Ovis aries: one gene and its partner. The protein of the gene in region 2 interacts with the protein of the main gene of each other region in a pairwise test. Links are inferred from orthologs where the notes say so. Each region holds a gene or a part of one and is shown on either strand. Other genes may lie near its edges.

Evidence for each region.
Region 1: the proteins of CEP70 (region 2) and PIMREG interact in binary tests that used the Homo sapiens proteins (3 or more experiments, as listed by UniProt). The two-hybrid records come from large-scale screens. The link is inferred for Ovis aries from reciprocal best matches to the Homo sapiens genes CEP70 and PIMREG.

The regions. Positions count from the first base shown.
Region 1 is NC_056064.1:25,302,121-25,308,971, forward strand, and holds the start of PIMREG (protein PIMREG), read right to left. Parts: upstream 4,323-6,851; 5' UTR 4,288-4,322; intron 3,763-4,287; 5' UTR 3,727-3,762; coding exon 3,433-3,726; intron 2,338-3,432; coding exon 2,042-2,337; intron 1,550-2,041; coding exon 1,454-1,549; intron 834-1,453; coding exon 800-833; 3' UTR 784-799; intron 417-783; 3' UTR 1-416. UniProt on the Homo sapiens protein: During mitosis, may play a role in the control of metaphase-to-anaphase transition.
Region 2 is NC_056054.1:251,157,178-251,164,028, reverse strand, and holds the start of CEP70 (centrosomal protein of 70 kDa), read right to left. Parts: upstream 3,575-6,851; 5' UTR 3,485-3,574; exon of another isoform or gene 3,286-3,484; intron 1-3,285.

The DNA of each region.
Region 1 (6,851 bases), on a different chromosome or scaffold from region 2:
TCTTGTGTGGGAAGTAGGGCTAAATCTGGGTTCTCAAGAGCCCCCACACTGGTGATAATATGGTCTGACTCTTTGTAGACCCCACTCCTGGATACATAGCTCAAGCTTTCAAATATTACCTGCCATCTGCACTTCATGTTACAAACGAAGCAACTGTAAAGCTCATACGTGGGTTGAGTTCCTAAGCCCCACAGTGAAGTAGGATGAATGGTTCCCCCCACCCCTCCGAGATCTCCTTGAGTCACTTGCAGGCTGTGGCAGGTGGTCCCTGGCGGGCTGGGAGGTGGCTGAAGCAGGAAAGCAGAGGACCCCAAGCAGCCCCCACCTGGGGCTTTGTGAGTCAGGTCCTTGTTTGTGGCAGCTCAGGGGCATCGCCAGCTCCTGGGTCCCCCAGGAACTCCCAGGAGGTGTGGATCCTGAGTGTGAGGGCATGGTGGTCAGCTATGGCTTGCTTCCGGCAAGACAGAGCTCCTTCACACCCCAGGGGAAGTGGAAACACCAGAGACTGCCCCCCACCTCCAAATGAGGTTCTGGAAAGTGGTTGTGCCTGTTGGGGATGCCCCATGTGTGCTCCATCAGTGATGGGCTCAGTGAGGTTAGCCACAGTCCTGGCTCCCGAAGATTTGCATGCTTTCGGCTCTGTGGGGCCCATCAACTCTACATCTTTTTCCAGCAAAGACTCAGTTCCAGATATGCCTACGAGCTCATGGAGGAAGAGGAGAAGGAGGAGGAGGGGGAGGGAGAAGAAAGCTCTGAGAAAGAGACTTGGAAGGAGGGCATTACCTGAAGGGCGCTGTCCTCAGTCTCGGATGAGAGAAACAGTCATGTCGCCACTAGAGATGGGAGAGCAGTGGGGACAGGTGCTGCTGATCTGTCCTGCATGCTGCAGGCTCTGAGGGACCCTCCCCACCCAGGCTAGACAAGACCAGAACTGGCAGTGTGGTGGGTACATGCCCCACTTGGCATGTAGTCAGCACCAGCGGGGCCCCGCCTCAGAGCCTATCACAGCCACGTACGTATGACCTCAGTTAGGGCAGCTCCAGGCCCAGGTGCTGCTCCAGGACAGGGTCCTAAGCAGACAGGCCAGGCATTTCACAGCAGCCACGCGGCTTTCTCCAGTTCCAGGGTGGGCACGGTGGAGAGGAACCATGGAGAGTGAGTGGTGGAAGAAGGGTGGATCTTTCAGGAACCAGGTACCCGGTCACATGTGATGGACACATTTTGGGGCCCAAGGCCCAGGGGGCCACATCCATCTAGGTGTGTCCTTAACTACCACCCCAACCTAAGTATTTGATCAAGGAGGAGACCAAGGCATGTTGCAGAGGCTCAGAGAGGGAGAGAGATGGTTAGACTCACACAGCAGAGTCTGAACAAGAGACCTGCCTGAAAAAGTGGCCTGGCTCATAGGGGACTCTCCTGGCCATGTCCTTCGAAGCACGGTAAGCTGGCTCACCTGTCCTCTGCTGCGATGGCCTCATCTAGCTCTTGGGACACCTTTTGGAGATGCCGGATTCCTGCCCCCACGGGCTCCAGGTCACTGTCGGACTCACTGGACAGAAGGAAAAGCTGTGCATATCAGTCACTAGCTGGAAACCTGTGGCAGGAGCCTATTCTAACCCAGCACTGGGACCTGGTGTACAGGCCCCAGAGATGACCAGTGTGGGCTGGGAACTGATCACCCCAGACCCCCATTCTAGGAAGTGTCGTCAGAGAGGCTCGGAGCAGATGGCAGAGAACAGCTGAGGCCATTGTCAAGGATAGATGATCCTGCAGACAGGTAAGCCTCCACCCCCCGACCCTGCCAGGTGGCTTCAAAAACTTTTGGTGGAGCTTGGGTGACTGTGATACTCTTAGAGTTAAGCTCGCCTCTTCCTTTGGCAGGTGGGGAAACTCAGGCCCAAAAGGACCTCCCCAGGTCCCCCATAGTGGGGCACAGAGCTGAGCCAGAGCATGGATGTGGCTCAGCTCAGGGTGTCCTGAAGGTGCTCAGTAGCCCCCAGGGCCCAGTTAGCATTTGAGGGGCAGGCACTACCCCACTTACCTAGGGGAGCAGAGGGGCTCTGCCGAGGAGTAGGGGCTCCGGAAGGCAGCCTCCCTTCTGGACCGTTGCCAAGGGTGGGCATGGGGGCCCATCTGGACAGACAGGGGGTGGTACTCTTTCTCCCGGGGGTCCAGGGTTGAGTGGGCAGGGGCAGCCACAGATAGCCGGGTGCTCCTCTGGCTCAGGCTGCGAGCTGGGGGGCTACTGCCCTTCTGGGCCCCTCTCTTCCTCCTCCTGGCTTTCACCTGGGTTTCCACCAGCCACTTGGTGCCACTTTGGCAGGACTCCTGGATCCTCTGTGACCAGTGCATGGAAAAGTCAGAGTGGACAAGCCAGGAGTGAGCTACCCGATTTCTCAGGGCATCCCCCAACCCCTCGGCCCACCAGCTGGTCCTACAGACCCAGGAAGCCTTTAGGCTCAGGGTGAGGGATGCAGATGAGTCCATGAGGCCACAGGTCCATAGCAGGGACCCAGCTCAGGCCCCCAGGGATAAGTGCATGGGCGGCAGCATAACCTCTCTGGCTCATGGAGCCTGCATTGGTCTAAATCCAAACCCTCTTTCTGGACAGATTGACCCAGACTCAAAGGGGAGGCCTGGGGGAGACCACACCTACCCCCAGGAGACAGTGAAATAATTCTAAACATGTTCGGCACGTGCCCTACCTTCTCACGCCCTGTCTTGCTCTCTGTCCTCCAGCCATACCCAGACTAAGTTCCTGCCAGTTCTTTTCAGCGTCTTGCTCTCCTTTAACCCTGGGTCTGGACTAGTTCACCTGTCTTGTACACTCCTCATACCTCCTCATACCTCCCCTTTCCTGGGCGAATTCCATGGAGTCACCTCCTCCAGTCACCTTCACTGACTAAGCTTGTTTTTGGTGTTCCCCCACCATTAGCCCTTTGCTAATTAGCAACTTCCTATCACAGTATAGCTCTTTCATCTTGTCTCATGATGTTCTGTTTCCTCCACAACCCTGTTTTCATTCACTCATTCAGCTATTTGTTGAGCATCTACTGGGTGCCATGGGCTTCCCAGATGGCGCTAGTGGTAAAGAAACCGCCTGCCAATGCAGAAGAGATATGAGACATGGGCTCGATCCCTGGATTGGGAAGGTCCCCTGGAGGAGGGCCTGGCAACCCACTCCAGTATTCTTGCCTAGAGAATCCCATGGTCAGAGGAGCCTGGCTCCTACTGTCCATAGGGTAACAAAGAGTCAGACATGACTGAGGCGACTTAGCGTGCACGCACTACTGTGTACCAGGAATTGTTTGGAGAGCTGGGGACACTAATAAATCAAGGACCTTGTCTTCACAGAGTCTATATTCTTGGGAGATCTTTGGGGGCAGCCATTTTTCAGCATCAAGGAAGCCCTACATCCATACTTGGCATTACCTGGGACATGGCACCCAAGGTGCTCTTAGCTGAGCGAGCTGCAGCCTGGAGGCCCTGCTGCCCTGGCTCTGGGGTTTCCAGGCGTTTCCAGGAGGGGCCCACCCCGAGGTTGAGGCTGACTGCTCTCAGGGGCAGCCGCCTCTGGAACTGTCTGCGCAGGGAGCCCAGGGCCCCGCTGGAGGTGTCCAGGTGGCCGGCTACAGGCTGCAGGGCCTCGCTCTCCTCCAACCGTTCCTGGTTCTGGAGAGACCTCCGACGCAGGGAAGCCCCCACAGCTGGCCACCGAGAAGCCATCTGACTGTTCAAGAGTCTGTTCTGTTCCCACAGACCCTGGGGAGGAGATCAATGGGAGATCAGCAGGGTATCCCCCATCCCACTCCCAGGATCCAGTGAGACACCGGGTACCAGAGAAAGAGATTCCAGTCCTGGGGCCCATGGGGTGGGTCGCTTGTCAACCGTGGGGAGGAATTCTTCCTAGAAGTGAGGTCATAGAGGCCCGGGAGAGGGCAGAGTCTGGACAAGGCCGGCCAGCAAGGCGTCCCTTGCTGTGAGTGTCTGAATTAACTGTCTTTTCATCCCAGGCTACTTTCCGTTATCTGCCTCAGGCTGGGAGGGAGGCAGTCAGGACCCGCCGGCCGTCGCTGAGCCTCAGCACTTGGCCCAGGCTGGGCTAGGGACTCTTTCACGAGCTCGCCTTGACCCAATGCGCGGAGGTGGGCTGACCAGACACCCCGATGTCCATCCGGCTGTACCCAGAAGCCCCACATGCCGTGCCCGTCCTAACTAGGGGTCCCCCACCCCACCTGCTCCCGTCCCTTCTGAACAGAACCCCACCACGCCCCGGCCCGCACTCACCCAACAGCTCCCGAGGCTGACCAGACGACGTGCATAGCTGCTCCTCGCCCATCCAGTCGATTTGAAACACCGCGCGGATCCGCCCCCCTGGTCCTGTCCTCACAGCTGATTGGCTCTGTCCCCGCCTCGCGGCCACGCCAGGGATCCGATTGGCCCCTGCGCCAGCGGCTGTGAATCCTGCTCTCGGATTGGCCTAGCCATCCCCATTCATCCTCTGGAGGCCCGCTGGACAGGGAGCCGGGCGTAGAGGACCCTTTGTATCTATGGGTCCCGCCCGAGTTTCCTGCAGAATCCGTAGCCCGCGCCGGCTCAGCCCCGGCGCCACCTACTGACCCTCGGTCTCGGGCCACTGGACCCCATCCTTAACTTATAAAGGGTTCTGGCTGGCCTGACTGGGCGGGGCGAGGCGGGGTCCCCGGCTCCTAAGGGTCCCTCCCATCCTGCCTGAAGGTCTCAGTGGTTTTGTCAGAAAGAGCCTGGGCTGGGAACTCGGAGCCTTGGGTTGCTGTGGAAACTTTGTTTCAAACTTCCCTCGTGACCCTCTGCCTTCCTGAGACTGCCCTTCAGTTCCCCAAACTTGCCATCCGCACGGATCCCCAGGAAAACCCATCTTGGGAGAGGGGACAGATTGAGTGCATCCCCCAGCCCCCTACCCCCACTCCAAGTACGACCCCCAACCCTGTCCCATTGACCATCCCCTCTATCCAGCTGAGTGCCTCCCCCCTTCCCTTTAGCATCCGAGCTAAAAAATTCACCATTTAGAAAGCCCCCTCTCCTTCCCCCTCAAAGTAGTCCCTACTCCGTTTCCTCACCGCCCTGCTCACCTGGAACCTTTCCTCCCCCCATACACCACCCCCCCCCCCCCCCCCCCCCCCCCCCCCCACCCCCCCACCCCCGGCTCCATTCCCGAGTTTCAACTTATGGGTCTCTTGAAGGTCAGTCATTAACTCTGTTCTTCACCTCCGGGTCATCTCCCCCAAACCCTGGTAAAGGGACTTTTCCCATGGGAGGAGACCGATTCAAACGAGTCACTTACTATGCACCTGGCCGTGGTGCAGTGATTAAAGAATCTGCCTGTCAATGCAGGAGAGGAGGGAGACATGGGTTTGATCTCTGGGTTGGGAAGATCCCCTGGAGAAGGGAATGGCAACGCACTCCAGTGTTCTTGCCTGGAGAATCCCATGGACAGAAGAGCCTCGCAGGCTATAGTCTATGGGGTCGCAAGTCTATGGGACACGACTGAACCGCTAAGCACAGCACAGAGCTGGACACAGCTGAGCACACGCATGCATGCACTATGCACCAGGTACTAATTTCCAAGCACTTTATAGGAGGGACTCAAGAGCCCCTCGCTGCAGCCTAGGACTAGATGAGGAAATGGAGATGGGGAGGGACCTCAATTTTCCGGTTTATATGCAGCAAGGATTCAAACTCTGTCACCCTGGGACCAGGGTCCATGAGCCTCTCCAGCATAGCACATGGCCTCTCCTCAGCCTGCACCTCTCCCCACAGTTGTGCTAAATCAGCACCTGTATCCCCTTCTCCTCCTGGGTGCTGTGGGCACCTTAAACCAACATGCTCCAACAAGGTCACGCTGGTGTCTCTCAACCCCCCTTTTCTCCTTCCTCATTCCCCTCACCTGTCCTTCCAATTATTTACTTGTGTCTGATAGATTAAGCTCTGTGCTGACAATGATCCACAAAGGTGAACCAAACAGGTGAACTAACTTGGTGAACTAGCTCAAACCTGGTGTGTGGGGGAGAGACGGACATGGATGAGTCAAATAACAAGTCCTCAATTCATCAAAGAGAATTATGACACAAAAATTATGTCACTTAAAGCTGAGACCTACAGAATGAGCTCACCATCAAAGAATGTGTGTGTGTGTGTGTATGTGTGTATTTGGGGGTGGGGATCTTCTTCCACAAAGAACATCATGTTTGGGGGACCCAGGACCCAGGTGAGACCACCCCCGCCCCCCAGCACACATACCTATGTGTAACTGAAACGAAATCTTCCTGAAACAATACTTGACAATGTGTGGGGTGCTTTGACATAATTTCTGTTCAGTACTTCATCTTTTGAAAATGCTGGTGACAACTTGCTGCGTTCGTTTTTCAGCAGTTCGCTAAGAGTTCTGAGCTATGGTTTGAAAAACCCTGCTCTGTTTTACATGTCCAACTTCTTCCCCAGCTTAGTTGTTTCCTAAGCATCTGAAGTGTTTGTTCCCACACTTCTGGTATGCTTGTTGAATTTGTTATTGTAATTAGGGAATTTCATTCATTGTCCTCTTCCAGTGAAAGATGAAGGGGAAAAGAAAGGGTTATTATTTTTTCTGGAAACTAAGTTGAACGTGTGTGAAAGACTCAGGGAAGATGACGCACTTGGAAACAAAGCCTCTCCAATTGGATTGTCTTTCTCCATTGTCCATCCACGCTTGTCTGCCTGTCCCAGTGCCTGGCACGTCCATCACAGGCCTTGATACAATAGCTTATATATGTCGGGCCCTTACACGTGTGTGCTACGTGCATTTCCTTTTCTTAATCTTCCTTAATCCTCACAGC
Region 2 (6,851 bases):
CCAGAGGATCTTCCCGACCCAGGGATTGAACCCAGGTCTCCCACATTGTAGGCAGAGGCTTTACAGTCTGAGTCACCAGGGAAGTCTTGTGTTTCTGTCCAAATAAATTCACTTATCTATCACTTTGCCTCTCATTTTATTCTTTCTGCATCGAGAACCTGAGCTTCATTACGTCCTGAGACCCACTGTGTGATCTAAATTAAAAAGCCACAGGTTCAAGATCCAACCTGAGTTGCACAGTCTCATTGGGATTTTCTACTGAGCCAATATTTAAGAATGGTCAATTCTGGTGGTGGGAATATAAGCATTTTTCTGTTGGTTCGGTTCAGTCACTCAGTCGTGTCTGACTCTTTGCGACCCCATGAATTGCAGCACTTCAGGCCTCGCCAACTCCTGGAGTTCACTCAGATTCAGGTCCATCGAGTCGGTGATGCCATCCAGCCATCTCATCCTCTGTCGTCCCCTTCTCCTCTTGCCCCCAATCCCTCCCAGCATCAGAGTCTTTTCCAATGAGTCAACTCTTTGCATGAGGTGGCCAAAGTACTGAAGTTTCAGCTTTAACATCATTCCTTCCAAAGAACACCCAGGGCTGATCTCCTTCAGAATGGACTGGTTGGATCTCCTTGCAGTCCAAGGGACTCTCAAGAGTCTTCTCCAACACCACAGTTCAAAAGCATCAATTCTTCGGCGCTCAACCTTCTTCACAGTCCAACTCTCACATACATACATGACTACTGGAAATTTCTCAAAGTAAACCAGATGCAGATTTTTGTCTTAAGTAATTGAAACACAAGCCTCGGAATGCTCCTTAGACACTTTAAAGGTGCCTTCCCTTGGTTCTTTGGTCTAAGTAAGGGTGAACCTATAAACCCCACTCTCCAGATGACTCAGAACAAAATCTATTTTCTCCTAAAACTGTCAAATGTTTCTGGTGTGAAGTTTATAAATTCATCTTGACTGATCCTTCTCCACTTTCTGTGTTTTATGTCGGGAGAGCCAGAGGCTCTTTGTGCTGAAGGATAGAGGCCCAAGCAGCGGCAGCCTGGCTGGAGCAGGAGCCTGGTTACTGGACTCACGCTGACACACAGTCCGCTGAGTCAGAATCCTGGGCTCTTGAACGTCTCTGCGCAGCTTCCATTCACACAGAGCCAACAGTCACGCTGGACCAATACTGGAAGGGCACGTGGGAAGTTTTAAACCTGTAGGTATCAGGTGATGTAACTTTTCCCTTTAATTTTGATGTCCATTCTTGCTGTTTAAGAAGTAATTTCAGAAAATCCATTAATTCATTAACAATTCCCTTTTCCAAAGGAGGCCCAATGAAAGCATAGACTACTGTGAATGAAAGCAGTTTTAGGCGCTCTCTTAAAATAAATCACTGACGTCTGTGGGTGGGCTGGTGAGAAGTAGTTTGAGAGGCTAGAGCAACAAACATCCAGGCACTTCTAGGGAAACAAGAAAACAATCTGCAAGTGGAAATAAAGTCAAGAGCAGGATCACCAGGTGAGTATGTTTCACACTCAGGTCAACACCTTTCATGGTGTTTTGTTCACACTTTCTTTTCCTAACAAGCCTCTTTGATAACAAGTGGCCATGCCTACCTCCAGTGTGCTGGGCCCAGGGAATACGTAGGTAGAAAAGACAGCCTAGACTGGTAAGTTCCTTAATTCCAGATGCCCCAGAAACTATACCCAAGAAGGAAACATTGGCGCAGAATAAGCCAGCGGCAAAATGAGACTGCCTCACCTATTCAGGGGACAGACTTGAATGCACTTGATGAGTGGGCTGAGCCCCTCTGCACTCTGGGGCCCTTAAGCTAGGGACTCCCCAGACCCCCAAGACAGGATCTGAATAACAGCAGACTCTGATAATATGACCTTCTAAAATTCTACAGGCTGGCTTCATGGGCTGGCCCTGCAACTTCTGTAGGGCTTTGAGTCTCTGTAAAATGGGAATAACTACTGGACTGTTGTGAGAACTGCAGGCAATACTATACAAGGCACAAAGCAAGCATTCAATAAATTATACCTTATTGGTCTTATAAAAGATATTCTGATTCCCAAAGTTTTACAAGAAAATATGATCCTTCACTAAACAATATTTTTCAGCTACTGCCCAACCAGGGTTTCCTGGCCCTCACCCAACAATTCACAAGTGTTTCTCAGAAGATCTAAGGACAAGAAAAAGGAATTAGGGATGCATCTTCATCTATTTCTGGAAATTTCCACTCTGGGGCCTTTTGCCTTCTTCTCTATCTCCCTGGTTCATTCTTTCAATCATCATTTATTGAAAAGTCTCTATTCAAGACACTAGTGCAGAAGAAAATACAAATATGAAAAGTCTTTGTCTCCAGGGAGCTTTCAATACAAGAGCAAACAAGAAATCAGTGCTCTCTAAGCAGAATCCCTGTAACATAATTTCCCTAGGAATTCAGTCCATTACTTTGAAGACTAGTTAACCTAATCAACAGATTCTTCTTTATTGTTTCTCAACTGCTGTTCTCTCAGATACTTGCTCAGCATCCTCACTACCAATCCCAGAGGTGAAACAATCCTTTACCTTAACACCAGGCTGAGGGAAGAAATACACACTGGGACCTGCATGTCCCTTTGCCCTCCAATCTTCAGAGCCCCCAGAGAACCCTTTCACATGTTTGTTTTGCTGCTGAACCCATTTTTCACGGGGACCACTCACTGCTCTTTTCAGATGGCCCACTCACCCATCCCCTCCTCTGCAGTGATTGCTGTCTCTTCCTTAATGAAAATCAAGGCCACCTGAAACATTACTCAGGTCTACTCTTCATTCATTCAACAACACTTATCAGAGCATAGTGGGAGCCTGCACTGTGCAGACGTGGGAGCTGCTACAGTGAGAACCAAGCAGCAGTGGTCCTTGACTTCACAGACCTCAGCCTACTATTAAGCTGCGAGGGAGCCATGCTCCCTCCAACTCTTTGCTACCCCATGGGCTGCAGCCCGCCAGGCTCCTCTGTCCATGGGATTCTCCAGGAAAGAATACTGGAGTGGGCTGTGGTGCTTCCTCCAGGGGATCTTCCCAACACAGGTCTCCCTCATTGCTGGCAGATTCTTTACGGCTGAACCACCGAGGAAACCCTATTATGCTGTACATTCAACAAAGATTACACGAATATTTGCACAACTTGAACAGAACTGAGAATTCCAGGTGTTGCAAGCCTTAGGATAGTTTTTCTTAGGAAATGACATTTGACGAACAATCTCAATCTCAACGGAAGTTAACTAAGGGAAGAGGCAGGGAGGAGCGTCCAGGCAAAGGGAAGAGCATCTGCAGAGGCCCTGGGCTGAAGGACTTCACATCATTCGAGGATCTATCTAAACGAAGCCAGGGGAGACTGGGCCAACATCATACACGGGGCCTCATGCCCATCCTAACGAGTTTTGATCTTTCTAGGAGTAATCAGAAGCCATACAGAGCTTCAAGGAGACAATGCTAGGATCGTTTTTACCTGCCCCGTGGCTTCAGAGCATGCAAGGTCTGGTTTTGCCCACTCGGTTCACTCCCGCGTCCAGCCAGCGCCCGCTGTCAGCTGGTTCTTACGGAGGCGTCTCGGGAAGGAGTAAGAGTGCAAAGCCTGCCGCGCGGACCGCGGGCGGGGCTGGTCGCCGCGCGGGGGAGGGGCGGGCGGCGGTCGGCGCTGGGCACCTCGGGGACCTAAAGCGCGACAAACAGTCGGCGCGCCCGGAGCTCTCGCTTCCACGGAGGCTGCGTCTGGTTCTCGGTGAAGGGCCTAGGAGGTCCAGTCGGCGGAACCCACCGGTCTCTGGGCCCTGAGCCCCCAGAGGCCCACGGCGCCCAGGTGAGCCTCGCTGCCCAGGTGGGGCGGCGCGGCCGGCCCGGAAGGCCCTGTGCGCAGCGCCCGGCGCCCCCGCCGCGGTGCGAGCGGCCGCCATCTCCCGGCTGCGGCGACGGCGGCGACGGCGGCGGCGGGCGTGCTGGGCAGTGGGCGGTGTCCTGGCGGCGGTGCGACCCCGCGGTGAGGCCTAGGCCCGCGCGGGAGGTGGGGAGGGGTCTCCGGGCGTCTCCCAGAGACCCGGCCGGGCGGCGGTTTGCTCCTGCCCGGCCAGGCCCTGGAACCCGCGGCTCCGGCCTCTGCCTGACTATCAATTCATTTTGTCGCAGTCGGAAAAGTGGAGCAGACGTCACCGGGAAGCTCCCGGGGAGCACCGGGCTCGCATTAAGGTGTCTTTCCTTCCAGTGCCCTTTTCCCTGCAAAAATGAGCCGGCTGTATTTTTGCAGAACTCGGATCACAAAGTGCTGCAGCCTGGCTTCTTTGTCTTACCAATACATCCCCCGCGTCTGCGCGCGGCTGATGTTTGTCTCCATCGTTTTTATTGGCCGCGAACGGGTGCTTTGGTGCCAGGTTTTCCGCGCCTGACCGGGCTCCAAGCTTGCTGAGTGACAGGACTGTGATTCACTCCGCGGATTATCTTCACGATGGTGAACAAACAGGTGGTTTTTGGTTCTTACCTATTACAAAAAACGATTCGTTGAACACTGTTTCGTCTGGTTTTTTGGTTGTGTAGAGAGGCTTGCGGTACTCATTGCAAAATGCTCCTTGGAAAAGTTATTCGCGTCTTTTGTGCCTCACATTTGGGAACACCTGGCTCAGAGAGCTAACTGACAGACTTTGCCAGAGGTCCCGGTGCTGATCCTGCGGACACCGTCAACACCTCTTTGTTAAGTTTGTTCAATAGCTGGCCTTACCTAGAGCTTTGCTGAAAAGAAACTGAATACCTTAGTAATTTTTAAAACCGACTTAGGTTTAGCTTGGATAAACCATTATAGTCCCCAGTACGATTAAACCTAAGTTAAAGCAAAATTCAAGCTGGGATTAGATAAATAGTGGAAACGTTTTAAAGTCCTACTCTGAAACATGGATGTTGAGTTGCTAGGACAGGGATTTAAAATGATTATGCTGAGGGATGTGTCACTAGAGTCTCAAGAAACTTGCCCTGAAGACCTGTAAACTTTCAAGTAAGTGACATTGTCCTTATCAGTGAAAATAATTGGAATTTGTTTTTCCATCGGTTTTACTTACATTTTAAAACCTGTGTGCTGAAATAGAGGGAATTTTTCTTCGTAATGATCATTTTCCAGTTTGATCTCATGGTCCTGATAATTAAATGTATGTATAAGTTTAAAATGACAATGGATGAATTCCTTTCTCTCAAGTTTTAAAGCGTGGGCTTCCCTGGTCTTCCCACCCATTTGGCAGGGCTAGGATCCTTTCTCTGGGGGCCTTTTCTGGTTCTTTGTGTTTGTTTAGTCCCTAAGTCGTGTCTGACTCAGTTTTGAGACTTAGCCCGCCAGGCTTCTCTGTCCAAGGATTTTCCAGGCAAGAATACTGGAGTGGGTTGCATTTCCTTCTCCAGGTGATCTTCCTGACCTGGGGATTTATGGAACAGCAACCCCTCCCAACACCCCTACCCCCCACCCCCTCCCACCCCCATCTCCTGCATTGACAGACAGATTCTTTCTCTCTGAGCCACCTCGGTCACCCTGTTCTGTTCTTTACTGTTTCCCTTTCCAAGGACAGTCCCATGGCTGTGCTGTAATCATCTTTGTCTCTCCAGAGTCTCTCACTCTGAGCTTAGTGCCTGGCATATGAGTAACTGATGACTGCTAGCATGGTGGATGAATTTAGAATATGACAGTAGCTTAGAGATTTTTGTGACAGGTAAATTTATTATTCAAATGAGTAAGGTAGAAACCCAGGACATGGACAGCTGTGATCATCTCTTGGTCATAAGCGAAATCATATTCCAAGAAACGCTACTGGCAGGACACCTGGATTGTTTTTTTTTTAATAGTTTTGCTGAGATATAATTCATATACCATACAATTCACCCATCTAAAGGATACAATTCAATGGGTTTTTTTGTGTATTACGGTATTAATTTTTAAAAGTTGTGATCAATATATGACATAAAAATTGCCATTTAAAAATGTCCAATTCAGTGACTTAAATGAACCTAAAGTTCATTTATGATGTACAGCATCACCACTATTTCCAAAACATTTTCAAAACCTTCAACTGATACTTCTTAAATAAATGTGGAATGTATGGATGAATGTTGATAGTAGAGAGAAGAATATTTTATGTGACCTTGATTTCTAACCTCTCTTCTAATTTGTGTTGTCTTTTATGCTTTATGTGAAATATAATTAAGAGGGTACTAAGCCTTATCTTAGTGTGGTAATATTTGAAATTCCTTAAAGTGAAAAACTGGGCAGTTCTTTCAAGTTTGTTGAATTACTGAACATTCTAGAGTGTCTAAAAGTTGTAGAGCAAAATCTGAGTGATATCCCAAACTTTACTCTGATTTACAAAATACACATACCCTAGGTTATATTATGCTATTTAGCTTACTCTATTGCTCTGTGTTCTTTTTACTTTGATAGTTGCAGATACCCTTCACTTTCATAGGAGATATCCTAAGAGGTATTTTTAAGACTAGAAAAATCCACAAATATAGAAGGTGCTAATTTTAAACAGGGATTTATTTTAGGTACAATGTATTTTGAATCTTTAGTTTTTATTCTAAAGCATTTAGCTTTTCTTTGCCTGTTGGGTTGCTTTTATGGGTGCTAAGGTCTTCTTTAATATCTTTTAAAAAGCAATTTGTCACGTTTGGTTATTTCCAGACAAAAAAAGATTGGCAATCTCCCATTTTTACAAGGAGAGAACACCCTTGGACATCTGTATGGAAAAGACTAGACTAGAGTAGGTCTTGGAAGTAAAACAATAGTTGAATTTATTATTCAATAGGTTTGACAGGGGTACAATTGTTAATCCTAAATCTTCAAATGT